4 linked regions of the Caenorhabditis elegans genome follow. The protein of the gene in region 4 purifies or fractionates together with the protein of the main gene of each other region. This does not show direct contact. Each region holds a gene or a part of one and is shown on either strand. Other genes may lie near its edges. The genes, in order: dct-16, gst-27, qdpr-1 and lbp-2.

Region 1 (5,304 bases), on a different chromosome or scaffold from region 4:
GCAAATCGGCATCTTGCCGGTTTGTCGAGTTGCCGGAAACGTTCAATTCCTTCAATTTGCCGATTTGCCGGAAATTTTCAATTTCGGCAACTTGCCGGTTTGCCGATTTGCCGGAAATTTTTAATTCCGGCAACTTGCCGTTTCGCCGATTTGCCGGAAATTTTCATTTTCGGCAAATTGCCGGTTTGCCGGTGTGCCGGAAATTTTCAATTCCGGCAATGTGCCAATTCGCCGATTTGCCAGAAATTTCATTCAAAAATTTCAATGAAAGTCTCCTAAATTCCGCCGATCAACCTAAAATTTCCAATTTCAGGGTTATGCTGGCGGCTTCGGAACGACTCTAATGGCAAAAGACCTTTCATTGGCTCAAAATGCTTCAACAAATACTCAAGCACCAACTCCAATGGGCTCACTGGCTCATCAAATCTACCGTATTCTGGCTCGTGATCCACAGTACCAGGCAAAGGATTTCGGTGTCGTCTATCAGTTTTTGAAGAAACAAAACTCATAATTTTCGGTTTTTTCTGAAATTTTTAAAGCATATTTTATGTGATTTGAAGCCCCGTATTTTCAGGATTTTTCCAATTTTTAAGCATATTTTATGTGATTTTTCCGCCTTTTTTCTATGTGCCAAATTGTGTTTTTTATGTAGAAAAAAATAGAAATTTATGAATTTTTTGTTTAAATTCGAAAAACTGTCTGGGAAAAAATCGAATCGAAAAAATTCGAAAAAAAATTTAAAATTTTCAGGGTTTTAATCGAAAAATTAATCTTAAAAAATCAATTTTTGTCACAAAAATTTATCGAAAAAAAAGCTGATTTTATAAGAAAAAATAGAGATTTTTAAAAAATTTACAAGAATATATTTTCCATGAAAAATCACTTGGAAAGACCATTACAAGTTCAAAATTACAAAAAAATTATTTATTACAAGCTCATAATTGAATTAAATTTGCGTGGTTCGATCTACTTCGATCTTCGAAAAATGCGGGAATTGAGATGCAGATTTCTCAATTGACTTCGCATGGATAAAAGCGTGCACTTTTTGGGCAAAAAAATCCCGCATTTTTTGTAGATCAAACCGTAATGGGACAGCCACCATGTATGTACATTACTTTTCAAGTAGGTCAAGTAGGTTCGGGCAGTTTCCGAAATTTTAAAGGAACTTTTTCATTAGAAATACGTGGTGTCATTACTGTTTGATCTACAGAAAATGCGGGAATTTTTTTCCCAAAAGTATGTGACCATTACAAGTTTAAAATTACAAAAATTATTTTATTACAAGCTCATAATAGAATAAAATTTCAAAACAAAAAGAAAATCTATTGCTTCTTGGCGGCCTCGATAAGCTCGGCCTTCTTCTTCTCAATAATGACAGCGTAGATCTTCTGATCGGCTTCCGATTGTCCCTTAATATACTCATTGGTCTCTCCGATCATTTTTGTGATAATTGCCAAAGAAGTGGCAGCATCACGTTCTGGCTCATCGTCCTTCTTCTTGTAAGTGGCGGCGATTTTGAGAATTCCCTCGATGGATTCTGGCGAGAGACCGGCGGCTGTCATCTCCTCCTTGGCTTTTGCGACTGAAATTTTTTTTACATATTAGTAGGGTATTAGGAGACCTACAAAAAATCCGAAAATTTTCAATTTTTGGATTTTTATTAGGTAATTTGCGTGGTTTGATCTACTTAGATCTTCGAAAATGGCGGGAATTGAGATGCAGACTTCTTAACTGATTTTGCATGGTTAAGAACGTGCTGACGTCACATTTGTTTGGGTTAAAAAATCCCGCATTTTTTGTAGATCAAACCGTAATGGGACAGCCTGACACCACGTGTGTGCTGTACTTTTCAAGTTGGTTGTATGTTCGGGTAGTTTCCGATATTTTTAATAAACTTTTTTTATTGGAAGCGTGTGGTGTCAGACTGCCCATTACTGTTTGATCTACAGAAAATGCGGGAATTTTTTTCCAAAAATATGTGACGTGTCAGCATGTTCTTAACCATGTAAAATCAGTTGAGAAGTCTGCGTCTAAATTCCCGCTTTTTTTGTAGATCTCACCAAAATGGGACAGCCTGACATCTAAAAATGTAAAAAATTAAATCATTTTTTGGTGTTGTATCCTATAATATCTGGAATATGAGGTTATTGTACAATTACATGTAAAAAATCAAAACAATAACTTGCTAAAGAATTACATACTTTTTTCTGCCGAAAAATCAACAAAAATTGAAAATTTCAATTTTTCGCCATTTTCGGTCTTATTGTTAAATTTTTTTCAAATTGAACAAAAAACATGAATTCTTGAAAAAATAAGCATACATCCAAAAACTCACGTTTCTCGGCCATTTTTAGTGTTGATTCAGCAGCAGCAGCAGTGAAAATTGATGCCTATGCCGAAATGTGGCACCCCGCTTGGCATTTTATACCGAGAAAAAATGTTTGTGACCGCATGCACTTTGCTCTTCCAGCGCGTGTTTGCATGCTTACGTGTTCCGAACGAAGACCGTTTTTGCAGTTGTTGCTCCGCGAGCAACTAATTTAATGATGTGTCAAGAACACTATGTAGATAAGGAATTTTAGTGATATGACGGCTCGCGAAGATTTTAACGTGGAAACTTGCTGGAATCCATGTGGCAAATAGAGATTAATGTCTGATATTTTCCAGAAAAACTATGGCCCAGGCTTAGGCTTTATAGGGTTATTCATGAGATGACGATAAATGCAAAAATGTATTTTTTACATTTTTCCCCTATCTATTCATGTGTGTAGAAAAATGTAAAAAAAACACATGCTTTTTTTGCATTTTTCTACATTTTTCTACATTTTTCATGTGAAGCGGGCTGTCGGCCGATGTAGATAAATGTCGAAAAATGTTGAAAAATTAAAAAAAATGCCTTCGTTTTTAGGGATAGGGTAAAACTGTATAAAAATCATTTGTGCATTTTTTGGCATCACATGAATAATCCCAATAGCTTCGGTTTAGCGTTTAGGCTTAGCTTTTTTTTAAGGATTAGCTTTGGCCTAAGCTCAGGTGTATCAAAGTTTTAAGAGCCCATGATTACAGACCACCTAAAAAATCTCAATGACCAGAATTTCAACGCAAAACATATTTATTATTTATTGAAATAATCAGAAATCACAATTTTTAGAGATAAGAGGGCAGGAGAAATGATGGGAAGAAGGTGAATGGCATGATGGTGAAGCTTGTTTGACTACACGGCAGTACATAGGGTAGACCTGACTTTTTGGACATAGCGCTTGGGCCAAGAAGTACTAGGATGATCATGTAGGTTTAGAGGTTGTCTGGAATGTTTTTTGAAAATTGAAATCGCGAAAAGTTTGGAGTTAAAAATAGGATTGTTAGGATTATTGTTTACAAGTAGACAATAGTCACTTGCGACGTGCCGGATCTTCGTCGGCGATCCACAAATCGATCTTGTTCAACTCATTCTGTTTCTTGAGCTCTTCCGGGTTCCGAGGCTTTTCTGGTTTTGGCTCCTTGGGTACCACCTCTGGGTTCTTTTGTTCTGACGTTGAAGCTGTCTGAAAAAAGAATGTAAATAAGTAAATTATATGTTTCTCAAAAAAAAACTCACCTCTATCGCCTTGACCCTCTCCATGTTTTCATTGCGTCGTTTCTCGATCTCTCGCATTTTCACAGTCTTCAACGGGATAAGCTTCGGCTTACAGAAAATTGGCTCAAACCAATCTTCCTGAAAATAAGAAAAACACTCGAGCTTTTTTGTTAGCATAAATCTCAGCTCACCTTGGAAATAACGTAGCACTCATCGACGGTGAGCTTCTCCTCGACACTCGGAGCATCGGGGTTCATTTTAGTTGTGAAATTCAAAGCAATGAGTTTGCAAAAGATTCAGAAATTTGGTTGTTAAGGACAACCTCTTTACAACTCGCTGTGTACCCCTCAATTAAGACACATGAGATGCTTCTCATGGGAATTAAGGGGGATATAGTCAACAAGTATAGGTATACTATGATTAATTATCACGTGCGCTGGTGTGGGTGGGGGTCTGACGAGGTTCTGGTCGGAGGGTAATCTTGATGGGATGCGGAATTAAATTTCAAAAATAATAAGAGGACACGGGGTTCAAAATAAAAATTGGAAAGTAGAAAAATTTGAAAAAAAATTGATCAAGCGACAATTCTAGGTTGGCCAACACTCTGAGAATTCATAGTTGAGTCATCTGAAGTTTTCCTCAATTTTTCAAATTTCCAGCGGAATAGCTCTTTAACAGTGTCTCGATAATGAGCGTTTACGCCGAGGCAAATTAAGAAATGAACGGTGGCGTTAATGGCAACAAATGACGTGAAAATATCCATCAAATAGCGTATGGTAGTTCTGAAAAATAAATTTTGATGAAGCAATACCATTATATTAAAAAAAATTACCAAAAGGATAATCTAATATTCTAATAAGAAGTGATAAATTGAAATTTACAGAAAATACTTGAAACTTGATTTAATTTTTGCTGAAGTTTTAAGAAAAAAAAGTTTAAAAATTGAAATTAGAAAACTGCAGTTTTTTAAAAATAATTCCATATTTCTATTTTGAATTGAAAATATATATTTTGTTTGGAAATTTTAGAACTTTAATCTCAGTTGTTGAACTTTATTCTCGTCCTATAAATTTGTGTGTAAAGTTTTTGGATTTTTGTTTCAATTTAGAAAATTTACAAAAAATTCTCAACATTTCATTATTAAACTAGAAATTTCTTTAACTTTTTGCCTGAAATTTAACCAAAAATTTCAAACAAAATTGAATGCTTGATGAAATTTTGAAACGCCGAAAATATTATCTCGACTTGTTTAAATTTTCAAACAATTTTTGATGTTTGCCTTTTATTTATTAGAAGATTTTGGCCAAAAAATTTAGCGCGAAGTTTGACCAACTTGTAGGCAAATTCCATTAGACTCCGCCCGTTTAATGACTATTATTATATTCTCTTACACAATTGCCGGATGACTAGCGAGCAACCCTGTGGAGATATAAAGAATCCCAATTGGCAATTCAGCAGTGATAAATGAAATTGCCATCAGAATTACAAGCTTCGTGATTTAATCCGAAGATTGACTGAAAATTGTTCTTAAAGAAAGCAAGGCCTAATTTTGAAAAACCTGCCTTCCATTATCATTTCTCAACGAAGACGTTTTTTTCCGCAGAGCGATCATTTTTCTCAGCTGTCCAACTAGTAGAGCTGTGAGGATGGGAAGAAGAATTGCGAGGCAAGCCTAAAAATCAAATTATCAAAGTGAAAAAATGGTTCCAACTAACCTTTATGGAACC
Region 2 (5,243 bases), on a different chromosome or scaffold from region 4:
TGTCGGAATTAAAAACCTCCGGCAAATCGGAAACCGGAAAATTGCGGAATTAAATTTTCCGAAAACCCGGCAAATCTACAAATTGCCGGAATTGAAAACTTCTGGCAAATCGGCAAACCAGAAAATTGCCGGAATTGAAATTTTCGGCAAATCGGCAAATCTGCAAATTGTCGGAATTAAAAACCTCCGGCAAATCGGAAACCGGAAAATTGCGGAAATAAATTTTCCGAGAAACCGGCAAATCTACAAATTGCCGGAATTGAAAACTTCTGGCAAATCGGCAAACCAGAAAATTGCCGGAATTGAAATTTTCGGCAAATCGGCAAATCTGCAAATTGTCGGAATTAAAAACCTCCGGCAAATCGGAAACCGGAAAATTGCGGAATTAAATTTTCCGAAAACCCGGCAAATCTACAAATTGCCGGAATTGAAAACTTCTGGCAAATCGGCAAACCGTCAAATTGGGCTCAGGCTCAGGCTCAGGCTTTTGAAGTCCTAGTTTCAACAAAACCAAAAACCACAACCAAAAACCAAAGTGGCAGGAAACGGCAAAAGATCAATCGTTTCAAATTGTTCAAACACAACCAAGCATCAACTGCCAGCACACGTGAAGGCAGAGACATAGACGGTAAACATATAGTATAAAAAGGGTTGGCAAAGTTGTACAGAAAAATAATTGATGCGATTATTTTGTTGTCCAATTATTTTCGGCGTTCCAGTTTTCCTTTTTTGCGTATAAATACTACTTCATTACAGAAAAGTTGTCAAAAATGCCTACCTACAAGCTCACCTATTTCAATGCTCGTGGATACGCTGAGGCCGCACGTATCCTCTTCCACTTGGCAGATGTTCCATTCGAGGACTTCCGTATGACACACGGAGATGGAACATGGGAGAAGCTTAAAGACGGTTAGTGGAGATTTGGGGCCTACCGATTGCCTGCCTATCTTATTATAGCGCGATATTTTGATAAGAAGTTATGGATGGCATTCAAATTTTAAAAAAAGTTCTGACAATAATGGGAAAGCCAAATTTTCTGAGCACACGGTCTTGGATGGGTTAAATTTTTTTCAAAAAATTGTAGGCATCATTTTTCGTAAAAAAGGCATTCCAAATTAAAACAAAAAATTATTTAAAAAATTTCGCCGGAAAAATCAATTTTTTTTATAAAATAGTTTTAGGGCTATGTATATGTAATTGTTTCGAAACTTTTTTAGCGGGAAATTCACAATAAAAAAAACATTATTTTTCACGATGAAGTTTTGGATGGGATTCGAATTTTAATCTAAAAATTTTTTTCTAGAAACTTTTACAACTTCTGGAGCTTTTTGGAAAATTTCTGAAAATTTTGAAATTTTTAGAATGCTCCAAATACTTACTCACATATATATATTTTTTCAGGCGCCCCATTTGGTCAAGTACCTTACCTGACCGTTGATGGATTTGATATCCCACAATCTGCTGCAATAATCCGCTACCTTGCCAACAAATTCGGATATGCTGGAAAAACCCCAGAAGAGCAGGTTTGGGCAGATGCCATCGTTGATCAGTTCAAGGATTTCATGGGATCATTCCGCGAACGTATCATGGCACATTTCGCTGGAAAATCTCAGGAAGAAATTGCAAAGATCACTTCTGAAGTAGTGATTCCAGCTAGAGATTCGTACTTTAAGATTCTCAATGGGCTTCTTGAAAAGAGCAAGTCAGGATTCCTAGTCGGCGACAGTATCACCTTCGCGGACATTGTCATCTCTGAGAATATTACTACTTTGGAGAAAAATCAATTGTTTGTTGCTTCGGAGCAACCAAACTTGGCTGCTCTTCGAGAGAAGGTCTATGCAATTCCAGCTATCAGGAAGTGGGTAGAGGCTCGTCCAGATACTCAGTACTAAATCGAAAATTTTCTTGAAATTTTGTTCAATGAAGTAATATAATTACAAATTCGAATAAATTTTTAAAATGCACCACTATTTGCATTCTTATTTGCAATTTTCCTCTCAATCGCAGCTGCCTTCTTCCTCTAAAACCCGCACTCAACATCATTCTCAACAACACCGTTTCTGCCAAGTGCACGCGTGGCCTGCTGGATAACGAGTTGGTCTCTCGTTCCGACTGCCACAGGTTCGTGCCCTCTCACCGCCTCTCTACCAAACACTTGCAAGTTCTGTTTATTGCAAGTGCATGGAAGAGGCGAATAGAAAACGGAATGATGTCCACTCCTTCGATTATCGTTCATTGGATTGCGGGCACTTTACCTCGTTCGACATTTTTTATTTTAACTTAAAGTAGAATTTTGGATTTTATTGACTCTCCGTCCGAATTTTTATTGACTCTTCTCCCACCTCCCCCCCCCCCCCCCCATCCATTTCTTGGTTTTTGGTTTATTGATCTCCACGACAGTTTGATAACACTTTGCGGAGGAATTTTTCCCAATCATTTTGCTTGCAGAATCACACAAGAAAACTGTCTGGTTGTGGTTTTCATTTAACTAAAATGCCATCCTACAAGCTGACCTATTTTAACGTGCGTGGATATGGAGAACCAGCTCGTATTCTGTTCCATCTTGCCGATGTTCCATTTGAAGATTTCCGAATGACCATTGGAGATGGAACATGGGAAAATCTCAAAGCCAGTAAGTAATAGCGACCTTGAAACGCCATATTAAAATTTAAAAAAAACTGAAATAAAGTAGCCAAGACAGAAATTGAACATTATTTTTTGTTTCTATTTAGAAACTCCATTTGGACAAGCCCCAGTCTTATCAGTTGATGGATTTGAAATTCCACAATCCGCTGCAATCAACCGCTACCTTGCCAAGCAATTCGGATATGCTGGAAAAACCCCGGAGGAGCAAGCCTGGACTGATGCTATCGTCGATCAATACAAGGATTTTATGGTATCAATCAAAGAAGTGGGAAAAGCAAGCGCTGCTGGAAAGTCTGCCGAGGAGGTCGGGAAGATCATCCAGTCAGATCTCGTTCCGGCAAGAGATGCATTCTTTGTGATAATCAACAAGATCCTTGAGAAGAGCAAGTCCGGATTTTTAGTTGGAGATGGTCTAACCATCGCAGATATTGTGATTGTGGAATGCATCACAACTTTGGACAAACATCAGCTCTTCACTGCATCGGAGCAACCAAAATTGGTCGCGCTTCGAGAGAAGGTATATGCGATTCCAGCAATAAAGAAATGGGTTGAGATTCGTCCAGATACCCTGAACTAGGTTTGTTTTAAATGTGCTGATATATTAATTCAATAAATCGTTATGTTATGTTCATGTAATCTCATTTTATTTTCAAATACGTTAATTCTGAACGTGTTAATTCTATTTTTAACTTTATTTTTCTATCTAGATTGAAGCTAAACTCAGTTCTGTTCAATTTTACAGTTAAAAAAATTTTATGGTCCAGGATACATTTTTTAAAATTGTACAATTGACCTTAAATTGTTATTTTTCTCTGAAATACTTTGTAAAAATTAATCATGGTTTGACTTTTTCTGTCAAATATTTGATAAGACTATGCGGAAAGACTGCATTTTTCCAATGCTATTTCGAAAAATTGTTTGATATCGGAATCACACTATCACACATACCTATATTTAAAACAGACAGATCACTATGCCTTCCTACAAACTCACCTATTTCAACGCTCGTGGCTACGGAGAAGCTGCTCGTATTCTCTTCCATCTTGCCGATGTTCCATTTGAGGATTTCCGTATGACCCATGGAGATGGAACATGGGAAAAGCTGAAAGAAAGTAGGTCATTTATATGTGGCAAACACTAAACTCAAAGTAAGTATTTCAGAAACTCCACTCGGACAAGTCCCGGTCCTATCCGTCGATGGATTTGAAATTCCACAATCTGCTGCAATCATCCGCTATCTTGCCAATAAATTTGGATATGCTGGAAAAACCCCGGAAGAGCAAGCTTGGGCAGATGCCATCGTTGACCAATTCAAGGATTTCATGGGATCCTTCAGAGAAGTCGGAAAAGCACATGCCGCTGGAAAGCCAGCTGAGGAGATTGCAAAGATCATGCAATCAGATGTCGTTCCGGCTAGAGATGCATTCTTCGTAATCATCAATGGGATCCTGGAGAAGAGCAAGTCAGGATTCTTGGTTGGAGATGGGCTCACTTTTGCCGATATTGTAGTTGTGGAGTGCATCACAACTTTGGACAAAAATCAGTTATTCACTCCAGCGGGAGAGCCAAAGTTGGTTGCTCTTCGGGAGAAGGTCTATGCGATTCCAGCTATCAAGAAGTGGGTCGAGATTCGCCCAGATACTCAGTACTAAAGTTTGTTGTAAATTGTTTGATAATTGAATACAATAAATAGTTTTAATATCTCCTTGTAAAAATTCAAATTATTGTGGGAATATAAATTCACTAGTGTAATTTAATTTTCTAAAAATTTCATAGTTCTGTTCGCTACAGTAACAGTGCTGCTTGAGTACCGAAGATAATTCTCAAGTGCTTCGAACCACTCTTTTCATTTATTTCATACTCATATGTAACCTAAAACATAGAGCTGTGTACTGTTTTACTATTGAGTACGAAAATTTTATTTCAAACATGTTATCAAACAATCAATGGAGATGTGAACAACCCGTATTAGATGATAATACAATCAATGGAAAAGAAAATACCCTGGGTTTTCAAAAAAACATACAAACTACAACAAAACGCTCTATGAAGCCAATTCCATCGAATGCGGAGTAGGAGCAACTGCACGTTTCCGTCGGAATAAGAGCTTAATGTCATGCGTTAAAATGAATATTACTGGCAACAGAATGAGAGCATGAAGCATTCCAAGTATACCGACCAGGATCACAGTCTTCCAGAATACTGCTACAACATACGCACGTACAAACATCAATGGGAACATGCCAAGAATCGTGGAGAGCCCGGACTGCATTACTGGCCAGGCGACTCCGCGGAAGGTGCTTAGAAGACGGTCACGAGTCTCGGCGTAGTTATGTGATCTCCAGAGTTGCTCCTAGAAAAATATGAAGTTGGTTTGAAAATGGGGTACGGTTGTTTGGTATGGTGGATGTAGTGTGAAGTATGTAAACATCGTGTGGGGCTGTCCCATTACGGTTTGATCTACAAAAAAAATGCGGGGATATTTCGCCAAGAGAAATGTGTTGAAAATCAGTTGAAATCTCTGCGTCTCAACTCCCGCATTTTTTGTAGATCTACGTATTTCAAACCGAAATGGGACTCTCTGACACCACGTGATG
Region 3 (5,550 bases), on a different chromosome or scaffold from region 4:
AGAAAAAAAGAACAGAAAAAAGTGTGAAGATTTATTCTCTGCAAACAGATAGAGGAGAATTGGAAGAGAGAAAATGATATGGGAGTGACTAATAAACTGCGGGTTTCTCTGTTTTCTTGTCATATCAATATGGTGAGAATTGACGAATTAAACTAAAGATTTGGGACAAGAATTATGTAATAATACGCTGAAAAAGAAAACGAAAAAAAAAAACAATTTTTCGGTAATTTAAAGGAGCATGAACAATATGTTGTAGATTTTTAATTAAAATCGTTTCAGGACCCATCGCAAAAGTGGTGTGCCCCTTCCAAGGTATATTTTCCATTCTCTGAATTCATAATATTTTGGTAAAGTTATTTTCAACGTAATTTGTATAAAATCTTTTGCGAGTTTCTAGCAAATTTTTACTTTTGCCCCGAAAATACGGTACTCGGTCTCAACACGACAAACTTTGATTAACTTCGAAAAGGGATGCGCCTTTAGGGAGTACTGTAATTTTGTAACATTTTGTTGCCGTAGAATTTTCTATAAATTTAAAGAAAATAGGGAACTAAAAAAAAACCATAAGAAATTGTCGCGTCGAGACCGGTACCGTATTTTCAGCAGAAAAATTGCAATATTTCGCATCTAGATAATAAAACATTTTTACTTAAAAACATCACAAGCTTTATGGACAAATGATTTAGAAATTGATAGCATACTACATGGAAAAATAACAGATAATAAGCGGAATGTAAAAAAGGCTGAAAAATGTCGGTAAAATTATTGTGGAGTGATAGTCGATGTTCCATTTTCAGTGGTTATTTTGAGGAGAGCCCCGGAAGATGGACGGCTCGATGTTTCTGTGGTCCATTTGAGAAGATGTTCAGAGATGAATGAGAGTGGAGTCCAGCTGAAAAAAAAACATAGAAAACTATGCAAAAGAAAAAGAGTAATTTAATTTTACCTTGAATGATCAGCATTTGGCATCCATTTTCTGTTCATTGGGGTGTCCAAAGTGACTGGCATAATTGTCAAAACGGCCGAATTGTCAGGCAATCCCGAATCTTTGGCAGCCAATGAAGATGTCAGATGATGAACTGCAGCTTTTGCCATACCATATCCAATCATTGATGGAGTTGGTCCCATAGCAGCAGCAGCTCCTGTAAGCTGAAGAAGACCTCCCGGCTTGAGGTGAGTGGTGGCCAATTTGGCTGCAATTGCTGAACTCCAGACCTGAAAATTCACGGTAGAATAATACCAGATGTTTAGGATTAATATATGTTACCGATTGTTTGATCATTAAATCAGCATTTTTCACAAAATCTTTTGAAGAAGCGGAGCCTCCAGCCCATCCACCGGCAACACAGAAAACTCCATCAACCTGACTTCCCTGGAGAGATGAAGCAGTTCTGCAAATATTTTATGAGGTTACGGTAGCTTTTTTTTAAATTAAAAATACAACTTACTGCTCGAGAATGGATTGTTCTTGTTCTGTCCAATTTTTATTTCCGTCCACCAAAATATTACTGTCAGCTTGGTCATTGGCACTCAAGTCGATGTTTAGAACAGTCTGAAAATTAATGAAAATTAATTTACAACATCCTAATTCAATTTCTTTTAAAACTTACATAACCATTTTTCTTGAAGAATTCAAGAATAGCAGATCCAAGTGCGCCTTTGCCTCCGTATACGATAACTTTTCCACTGGACATTGTTCGAAACTGCAAGGAAAAAGTAAAGAATGACAATATGGAGGTTGAAGGACAAATTGGCCGCGTGGACGACGTCAAGGACGATTTTAATGTGATACTGGTATCAACGAGTGATCAGAGACACAGATTTTTAATGTTAAATGAGGGAAAACTTGATGGAATTCAGGAAAATAAAGATGAAACAACATTTTGGAAATCGGTTTCCGAGCTTGAACTCGAAACGAACTTTTGTTATCGAGAGTTTTATCAGTTATATTTTTGCAAGAAATTTGGCAGACATATCAATCGATAGCTCTTATTTAGCTCAACAACATTTAATATGAATCACAACAGGAAAATGTGAATTAGCTTCTCAGAATTCGTCAAAACATCGTGGGAAAAAATATAGGAAATTATTTTTTTACAATTGCGCTCTAATGTAGATGGCGAGACATCGTGTGGAAAGGAGAGACGATAGATAACTTTTTCTTTTCATTTAATTCTTTTTCTTGTTTCTATTATTATTTAAATGGTTTCGCATGAACTATTCATTTCAATTTATAAAATAAAATCATATTTAGAGTAAATTTTAAATATTTCAGCTATGAAATGCCATTACGAAGTGCTCGAAGTTGAACGCGACGCTGATGACGATAAAATCAAAAAGAACTACAGAAAACTAGCGCTCAAATGGCATCCCGACAAAAATCCGGATCGCATCGAAGAGTGTACTCAGCAATTTAGGCTTCTTCAAGCTGCGTACGACGTTTTGAGTGATCCACGAGAACGCGAATTTTACGATAGACATAGAGAAAGTATTCTGAAGGGAAAAAATACGGATTTCGAGGAACAATCCACGGATTTGTTCCCCTATTTCACCGCTTCTTGCTATCAAGGATATGAAAACGATAAAAATGTGAGAATGAAATCTAAAAAGTAAATCAAAATTATAAATTACAGGGCTTCTTCACTGTCTACCGGAAAGTCTTCAATATCCTAGTTTCTGAGGAATATGATGCGTACAACGATTCAACAATAGTCTATCCAGAGTTTGGCGACAAGGATACCGATTTGGAGCAAACTGTGAATGGTTTCTACGGTTTTTGGAGCTCTTTTTCGACAACTCGCTCTTTTGCCTGGCTGGATCATTATGATATCACACAGGCTTCAAATCGATTCGAATCACGGCAAATCGATCAGGAAAATAAGAAGTTTAGGGATGTCGGAAAGCAGGAAAGGAACGAGCAAATTAGGGTATGATTGTCCGGAATATTTAATTTTAAATTTAAATTTAACAAAATTTTTCAGAATCTGGTCGCTTTTGTTCGAAAACGTGATCCACGTGTCAAAGCATATAGGGAAATTTTGGAGCAAAAAAAATTGGAAGCACATAAGAAACAAGCTGATAATCGAAAAAAGCAGATCGCCAAAAATCAAGAGTAAGTTCCGAAATTGTGAAAAATAAGGAAAAAATTGAATTTTTCAGGCTAGCCAACTCATATCTGAACGACAAAGAAGCCGAGGCAGCCCGTCTTGCTCATTTGATTGAAGTTAGTCTACAAATGGCCGAGGATTACGATACTTGTAGTGATGAATGTGATGAAGAAGGAGAAGAACTTCCATATTGTGTTGTTTGTAGCAAATCGTTCAAAACTGTGTAAGCAGAATATTATAAAGACGCAGAAAAATGCCATTTTTGAAATGGAGATGCAAGTACGCTTCACGGAAAAATTAAATCGCTCCGCCTCCAAAGTTGGGTCTTGTTAGGCATTGGCTGCAAAACCTTAATTTCAAACGATTTTTGTTTAAAAAAAAGCTTAAAAAATGCACAATAATCGAAACATTGAGAATTGAAAAACGAAAATTATAGATTTATCGGAACTCCTTTAAAAAATTTTTTTTTGATCTTTTAAAATCGAAAAATCTAAATAAAACGTTTAAAAAATGAAAAAAAAGAAGAAAAATTGAAAAATTTGAGGTCATTTTTCTAAAAATCAAATTTTTTGAAATATTGAAAAAATTTTTAAAAAAACATCGAGAATTTTTTTTTCGAATTGGAATGAACCAAAACTAAAAAAAAATCGATATGTAATTTTCCGATATAAAAAAAAAGAAAAAAGACTAATTTTTCTTATCAAAATATACAAAACTTTATAAAAAAGTTGAAATTGTGTGTCAATTTTCTGAAAAATAATTTTTTTGATTTTTTGATTATTTTAGAAAAAAATGAAAATCCTTGAAGAAAAGTGAGAGACAAAAAATACGAAAAAATATTGAAAACGTTTAAAATTATGGATTTACCGCCACTACCTAACGAGACCCAACTTTTGTCCGTGGAGCGCGCTTGCACCTCAATTTCAAAAGTCTGATTATATTCATCTCTATAATATTCTTCAAACTTAATTTCAGAAACGCCAAGTTGAATCATGAGAACTCGAAGCAACACATCCGTCAGCTGAATGAGCTGAAAAAGCATATGAAAGAAGAAGATTCCACGATTTTCACCGAAGCAGAACCGAAACCCGACGAAACACCGAAAGGAAAGAAGAATAAGAGAAAGGATAGGAAAAAGGGGAATGGAATATTTGATGTGGAAGAAACAGAAGCAGTAGAAGCCGAGATTCAGGAAGCGCCGCCCGTGGAAAATGAGCAGCCGGAGGAAGAGGAAAAGGAATGTACCCCGGAAGTTGTTAAGAAAGAGAAAAAGAAGAGAAGAGGTACATTTTGTAGAATTGCAAAATCTTTAAAACAAAAACAAAAATTTTGTTTTCAGCTGATAAAAATCAAAACCCATCGGCGACAGTAGAGGAAGAAGCACCGAAGTCAACTGAACCAAAATCTGCAATTTGTGATAAATGCCGTGAGGTATTCGATAGCCGGACCAGGTTATTTGCTCATTTACAAGAAACCGGACACGCCACGTTGCTCATCAACAAACCAGGAGAAAAAGGACAGAAGAAGGCGAAAAATAAGAAGGGACAACGTGGAAATAAGGGGGATGATGAGGATTGGTGAAACATTTTTTTTTTGGTATTTATTCTTGTTCTAATTGTTTTGTTTGTGAAAGTTTAATAAATATTTTTCAAAATTCAATTTTATTGAAATGTTTCGGGAAGAATAATGGGCAAATAATGAGTACCAAAATGTTCAATATTTAGTATTCAAAGTTACAGTGAAAGTTACAGTGAAAATTAGTGGAAGGGTACATGAAAAAAAGTAATACAGATTAAAACATGACAAGTGAACGATGATGATTCATTAATCCTTTGAAATATTTGACCGTCTTCACTTTCAACTCCAACGTGGCATCTTCGTCGGCAATAAACGTTGCACATCGATGCATCTGCATCGCAGAGACCGTACACATGTGAGAGATTCCGCATTCGATTGCCTGATGAAGAGCCAGCGCTTTGTGTGATCCTGTGATGAGAATCATCACTTCACGAGCATCCATTACAGTCTGGACGCCGACTGTCAGAGCTTGTGTTGGCACTTTTGTGATGTCTCCACCGAAGAAACGAGCGTTAGCCTGGAATTATTATTTTACTCCTGATTCCAAATATCTATGTGCACACGCGGTTCTGGCTCATTTTGACTCGGCCAAGGCCGGGGTTTAGTTGCAACGCTAAATGTATTTGTCCGTGTGGAGTACACGACTTTCCAGCAGGCAATTGTCAATGTAGCGCGAAAAATTCAATTATTTTAAGACGACTTTCAAACGCGCGTCAGAAACATTCTCATTGGAGCGCGCTGTGACATGTCAATTTACGAGATGATTGACGTTTTCCAACAAATTTCGTTCAATTTCGTCGGATTATTGTTGTCAATGGAACATTTTTTCCGACAAAACTGAAGAAAAATCGTAAATCGACACAAC
Region 4 (5,197 bases):
CTCTTTTCCTTTTTTCCATTTTACAACTTCTTCCACTAATTTTCTCATTTTTAGAAAATGGTCAACAATGGAATCACGTGCCGTCGTTGGTTCAAGCGATCGACCGGAAAGAAGTAGAAATTATAAACACAACATAAAACTGAGCTCTTCACATTATTAATCACAGATGTTTATTTTTTCTGTCCTTTTAAATAAACAATTGTCCCTTTAGACTTGCTCTGCCATTTTCAAAAATTGCATGATCTCACAAAAAAAAACGAATGAACAGATGGAGGTCAAACATCGAAAGTGGACATAGAACAGATTAGCCAAGGTACAAAGTAGATGGGTCTATTGTAGCCCAATAAAACGTGAGAATCGTATTGGCCAATTTACGGGAAAGGCCATCTGGAAAACAATGATCTCTAATATGAATTCTGTCATCTGGGAATAGGGCTCAAACATTTGAAAACCAGAAAAAAAAACAATTTTGTGTCTTAAAAATTTTAGCTAGTGTTGAAAGTTTAAAAATATTTTTGAAAAATTGTGTTTTATGGGATCCTTACAATATTTTTTCGTTTTCATTTTGAAACCAAAAAAACCCAAAACCGAATGTACCGAAATTCTGCGGCAAAAAAACTTTTTTTCTGAAGTCGTTTTCTTTTTCTGTGGGTCGAATTCTATATGAATAAAAATTTTCATAATTTTTTCCGGTAGTTTTTTTTGGTTTTCCAAAGTCCCAGCCCTGCATGGATTGTGTTTTGAACTGCAGACCTGAAGACCTGTTGCCGTATTCAATGTTTGCTGAAGAAATGGAGAATCATACTATAGACTATGAAAGATAATGATAACATAAAATTATATCAACCAAATAAGGAAATTGCAATTCGATTCGCCTTAAACCTTCAACGAAATTATTTTGAGTTGATTGTTCGGTCTTCCAGGACCCGATTCATGCAACTACTCTCTTCAAAAATATCCGAACTGACCCCAACACACGGAACAAAAAAAATCTGCCCCGAATCATTTATGCTACACTCTCTTTCGATACCCATCCGAGTCCAGCCGTCCATCTCTGCTAATCGTCAGCGCAATCGACATGTGGGCTGCACTTCTTGCCGTACAATGTTGTTTACGACTGTGCAAGTAGGCGGGGTCCACGCAGACGACGTCGACACACAGCCCACAGTCCTGCCAAGACGTCAGTCGTTCATTCATCGACCTAGCCAACCATGTGCGCTAAAATCGCTCTTCTCCTGGTTCTTGTTGGAGCTGCTTCAGCTGCTGTTCTCCCTGATAAGTTCTATGGAACTTTTGACTTGGACCATTCCGAAAATTTTGATGAGTATCTCACTGCTAAAGGATACGGATGGTTCACTCGTAAACTTGTCACTTTTGCCACATTCAAAAAGGTGTTCACTAAGACTTCCAACAAGAACCTCTTTGACTACTCCAACTTGACATCAAAGAAAGACGTCCATTACAAGAATGTCCAACTTGGAAAAGCCTTCCAGGGAGAAGGACTTGACAGCACCAAACACGAGGTACGCTTTTGCAAGTTTTCAAGTAACCTTTCAAATTGATTAATTAATTAATTTTCAGATCACTTTCACCCTCAAGGACGGACATTTGTTTGAGCATCACAAGCCACTCGAGGGAGGAGACGCCAAGGAAGAGACCTACGAGTACCTTTTCGATAAGGAATTCCTTCTTGTGGTAAGTTATAAACATTTTTTAAAAACCAATTTCACATTCTCATGATTGTAATTTTCAGCGCATGAGTTTCAATGGAGTTGAGGGACGCCGATTCTACAAACGACTCCCATAAATATTCAGAAACTATTGTAATTTTTGTATGAATTGATTTCTCAATGTACTTTTTTTGCCACTGATGTATTTCAAGTTTCAAATAAACTGAAAAGTTAGATCGATTCTGTAATGTGATATGGGGCAAAAAATAAGAAAAATAACGCGGTTCTTTTGTGATTCATGCTGCATAGCCCTCTGAAGTTTTTTGTTTGGGAAATGTTTTCACTGGTTTAAAAATGTACATATTAGGAGTTCTAGAAAGCAAAGTTGATTAAAATTTGAATTTTTGTTAACGTGTAAAAGTGACACAAGTGTTAAAAAGAAAATTTTGCACATTGAAGACTTGAAATTAAGAATCAAATTATCAGATGAATTGAACCTATGCTGGAATCAAAACATGAAAGTTCGATTGCGCCGTGATATTTGCAAAAACGTAATTCAAAACACAAAAAGGACACAACCAGTTTAAAATTTCGGGTGGGTCAAAATCCAATCACTTTTCGGTTTTTTTTTTTCGATGTTGTGTTCGAAAGTTTTCTATAAAATGGAGTTTTTTCTACTCTTTCGTATGCTCTTTTTTATTTTTTTTTTCCTGATTTTCACATTTAATTTCTGAATAAGGTACCATTAAATAAGAACCATTTCTCAAAATACATAGTTTAATAACTAAAATCATTGGATCTTGAGGACCTCATTAAAAATATTTTTTTAAGTCTTAAATTGTTTGATGTGCAGTCAAAAAACGTAGCAGTTTTCTTTTCAATTTTCTTAACGCGTTTAAATTTATTTCGACAAAATTCATTCTGCATTTCAACAAGTAATCGATGAATTGTTTTCGTTCGGTCTCTTAAATTTTGTTTATTATTAGCTTCCAGGTGTTGTGAGGATTTTTGAAAATCAAGTAAGTCCGATCATCAATTTGTTGTTGCCATCCGTGCCGTGACCCTATATTACACACGTGGCTGACCTCAGTTTTATTGTGTTGTCGATTGAGCAACTGGGCGGAGTCTTGATCAATCTTCATTTCTGTGGACACTTCAGTCATTCAGTCATTGACTTGAACAAAAATGTCTTCGAAATTCCTCATCTTACTCGCATTTTGTGGAGCTACCCTTGTGGCTGCCGAACAGCTTCCAGAAAAGTTCTATGGAACCTTCGACTTGGATCACTCTGAAAATTTTGATGAGTACCTCACTGCCAAAGGATACGGATGGTTCACTCGAAAGCTTGTAACCTTTGCGACATTCAAGAAGGTTTTTGCCAAGAATGCTAACAAAAACCTCTTCGACTACTCCAACTTGACATCGAAAAAAGATGTGTTCTACAAAAACGTCCAGATCGGAAGCAAGTTCGAAGGAGAGGGTCTTGATAACACCAAGCACGAGGTGAGTTCCATGCCATGTACTTTTTATTTTATTTTTATTTCAATTATAATTTTCAGGTTACCTTCACTCTCAAGGACGGACACTTGTTCGAACATCACAAGCCACTTGAAGAGGGAGAATCCAAGGAAGAAACCTATGAGTATTACTTTGATGGAGATTTTCTTATTCAGGTAAAATTTGGTCAATCTATTTGACATACATTTTTGTTAATTACAGAAGATGAGCTTCAACAATATCGAAGGCCGCAGATTCTACAAGAGACTCCCATAAAAGTTTAAACTTATTCTATTGAAATTTTCTTAAATTTGCAATTCAATTTCATTTCCGAAAAAAATAAATTTATTTTCAAGCAATCTTCTGATGTTTTCAATTTGGAATCTTGGTGGAATGTATTATCCCAATTATTAGTTTTTAATTTTCTACAGATTAAAAAATGAACATGTTGAGGTAAGAAACTTAACACTAGAGTATGATCTCGCTGCCAAATTCTGCAACAACCATTATTTAAACTACAGTTGTCGTTTTCTTTATGTGATTTCATCTAAACGTTGAGTAGCACCAGTGGGAAATTGGCAAAAAACTACGCCTATGGTGCCAAAAGGACCAAATATCAATAATTTTGGAAAATTGTTCATTTACTGTTGAAAAGTGACTCCGTTATTGCCACTCATAATTTTGAAAGTGGACCAAAAAAATTTTCTACTATTTTTACACATTAATTTTGTTTCAATTATTTATGCAGAGATAAAGATCACTTAGCACCTATATTCTACATGTTCTATCATACAAAAAAAAGTGCCATTAATGTGCTAAAAATGTGCTGAAAATGTGCTAAAAATGTGCTAAAAATGTGCTAAAAATGTGCTAAAAATGTGCTTGAAATGTGCTAAAAATGTGCTAGAAATGTGCTTGAAATGTGCTAAAAATGTGCTAAAAATGTGCTAAAAATGTAATTTTAAAAAAAACTTTCGTACAAGCTATTATACTTGATTGGCATTTTTTGGTATTTTTGACTATGCTAAACAGTTTTCTGAAATAAAAAAGAATGACTCCATATGACTTTCCAGGACTTTTGAATTTTTGAAAAAAACCAGCTTTTATATATTTTTATCATTAAAAAAAAAAAACTTCCGTACAAGCTAATATACTTTGATTAGCATATTCTGGTATTTTTGACTATGCTAAACAGTTTTATGAAATAAAAAAGAATGACTCCATATGATTTTCCCATACTTTTGAATTTTTGAAAAAATCAGCTTTTATATATTTTTATCAATTAAAAAAAAAAACTTCCGTACAAGCTAATATACTTTGATTAGCATATTCTGGTATTTTTGACTATGCTAAACAGTTTTATGAAATAAAAAAGAATGACTCCATATGATTTTCCCATACTTTTGAATTTTTGAAAAAATCAGCTTTTATATATTTTTATCAATTAAAAAAAAAAAACGTCCGTACAAGCTAGTATACATTTTTTGGCACTTGCTACAATAAATACATTTTTTAAAAATTCCTTTACAATGCTTTACCTTCAAAATTTTCTTTGTCTTCATTTTGCATTGCAACTGTATGTATTACGAATATGTCTAAAAATGAGAAATTTTAGTCATATCTTACGTGCAAAGGGATTGTCACGTAGACAACGAATTATTGTAACTCACGGTAACGCGGGTTAGCATTTCCAGTGGTCAACTGTGTCTTCCCATACTCCACAAGCCAGCTGCCTAATATCGATTCAGAATAGTCCATTTTCCCTTGTACGTCAGAGTCATCTTGCACAGTAGTGGATAGTCTTACGTCAGTTGCTCTTTTTTTCTTCCACTCGCTTTCGTCCACTCAACCTTCTCCGTCATTTTGTCTGTACTGCTCATTCTGCTGTAATGAATATTTTACAACTACCTTCAAAGGCTCTCCGATGCACACTTCAACACTGCGATCTTCTGGAAATGTAAGTTATTATCTTTATCATAATTAAATTTAAACAATTTCAGATTGAATTTCTCTTTTGTCTCGAAAAAGAC

What was found.
Region 1: the proteins of lbp-2 (region 4) and dct-16 fractionate together in Caenorhabditis elegans (co-fractionation; one large-scale study listed by BioGRID). This does not show direct contact.
Region 2: the proteins of lbp-2 (region 4) and gst-27 fractionate together in Caenorhabditis elegans (co-fractionation; one large-scale study listed by BioGRID). This does not show direct contact.
Region 3: the proteins of lbp-2 (region 4) and qdpr-1 fractionate together in Caenorhabditis elegans (co-fractionation; one large-scale study listed by BioGRID). This does not show direct contact.

What each region holds. Positions count from the first base shown.
Region 1 is NC_003283.11:20,496,661-20,501,964, forward strand, and holds dct-16 (DAF-16/FOXO Controlled, germline Tumor affecting), read right to left. Parts: upstream 2,398-5,304; 5' UTR 2,349-2,397; coding exon 2,336-2,348; intron 1,583-2,335; coding exon 1,323-1,582; 3' UTR 1,264-1,322; downstream 1-1,263. Other genes in the region: B0250.5 (putative 3-hydroxyisobutyrate dehydrogenase, mitochondrial), read left to right, coding at 314-511; dct-14 (DAF-16/FOXO Controlled, germline Tumor affecting), read right to left, coding at 3,393-3,545, 3,599-3,715, 3,769-3,834.
Region 2 is NC_003280.10:15,162,920-15,168,162, reverse strand, and holds gst-27 (glutathione transferase), read left to right. Parts: upstream 1-2,454; 5' UTR 2,455-2,493; coding exon 2,494-2,632; intron 2,633-2,732; coding exon 2,733-3,223; 3' UTR 3,224-3,273; downstream 3,274-5,243. Other genes in the region: gst-28 (glutathione transferase), read left to right, coding at 771-909, 1,402-1,892; gst-26 (glutathione transferase), read left to right, coding at 3,620-3,758, 3,808-4,298; ptr-20 (SSD domain-containing protein), read right to left, coding at 4,691-4,999.
Region 3 is NC_003281.10:13,390,063-13,395,612, reverse strand, and holds qdpr-1 (Dihydropteridine reductase), read right to left. Parts: upstream 1,704-5,550; 5' UTR 1,695-1,703; coding exon 1,611-1,694; intron 1,553-1,610; coding exon 1,449-1,552; intron 1,392-1,448; coding exon 1,268-1,391; intron 1,216-1,267; coding exon 947-1,215; intron 893-946; coding exon 763-892; 3' UTR 634-762; downstream 1-633. Other genes in the region: dnj-17 (DnaJ homolog subfamily C member 21), read left to right, coding at 2,278-2,589, 2,634-2,927, 2,982-3,112, 3,160-3,330, 4,083-4,390, 4,447-4,688; T03F6.3 (Glucosamine-6-phosphate deaminase), read right to left, coding at 4,900-5,202.
Region 4 is NC_003284.9:3,257,947-3,263,143, forward strand, and holds lbp-2 (Fatty acid-binding protein homolog 2), read left to right. Parts: upstream 1-2,663; 5' UTR 2,664-2,855; coding exon 2,856-3,173; intron 3,174-3,229; coding exon 3,230-3,343; intron 3,344-3,389; coding exon 3,390-3,443; 3' UTR 3,444-3,524; downstream 3,525-5,197. Other genes in the region: lbp-3 (Fatty acid-binding protein homolog 3), read left to right, coding at 55-117; lbp-1 (Fatty acid-binding protein homolog 1), read left to right, coding at 1,212-1,523, 1,582-1,695, 1,754-1,807; fbxb-71 (F-box domain-containing protein), read left to right, coding at 5,057-5,124, 5,168-5,197. UniProt on the Caenorhabditis elegans protein: May play a role in sequestering potentially toxic fatty acids and their peroxidation products, or it may be involved in the maintenance of the impermeable lipid layer of the eggshell.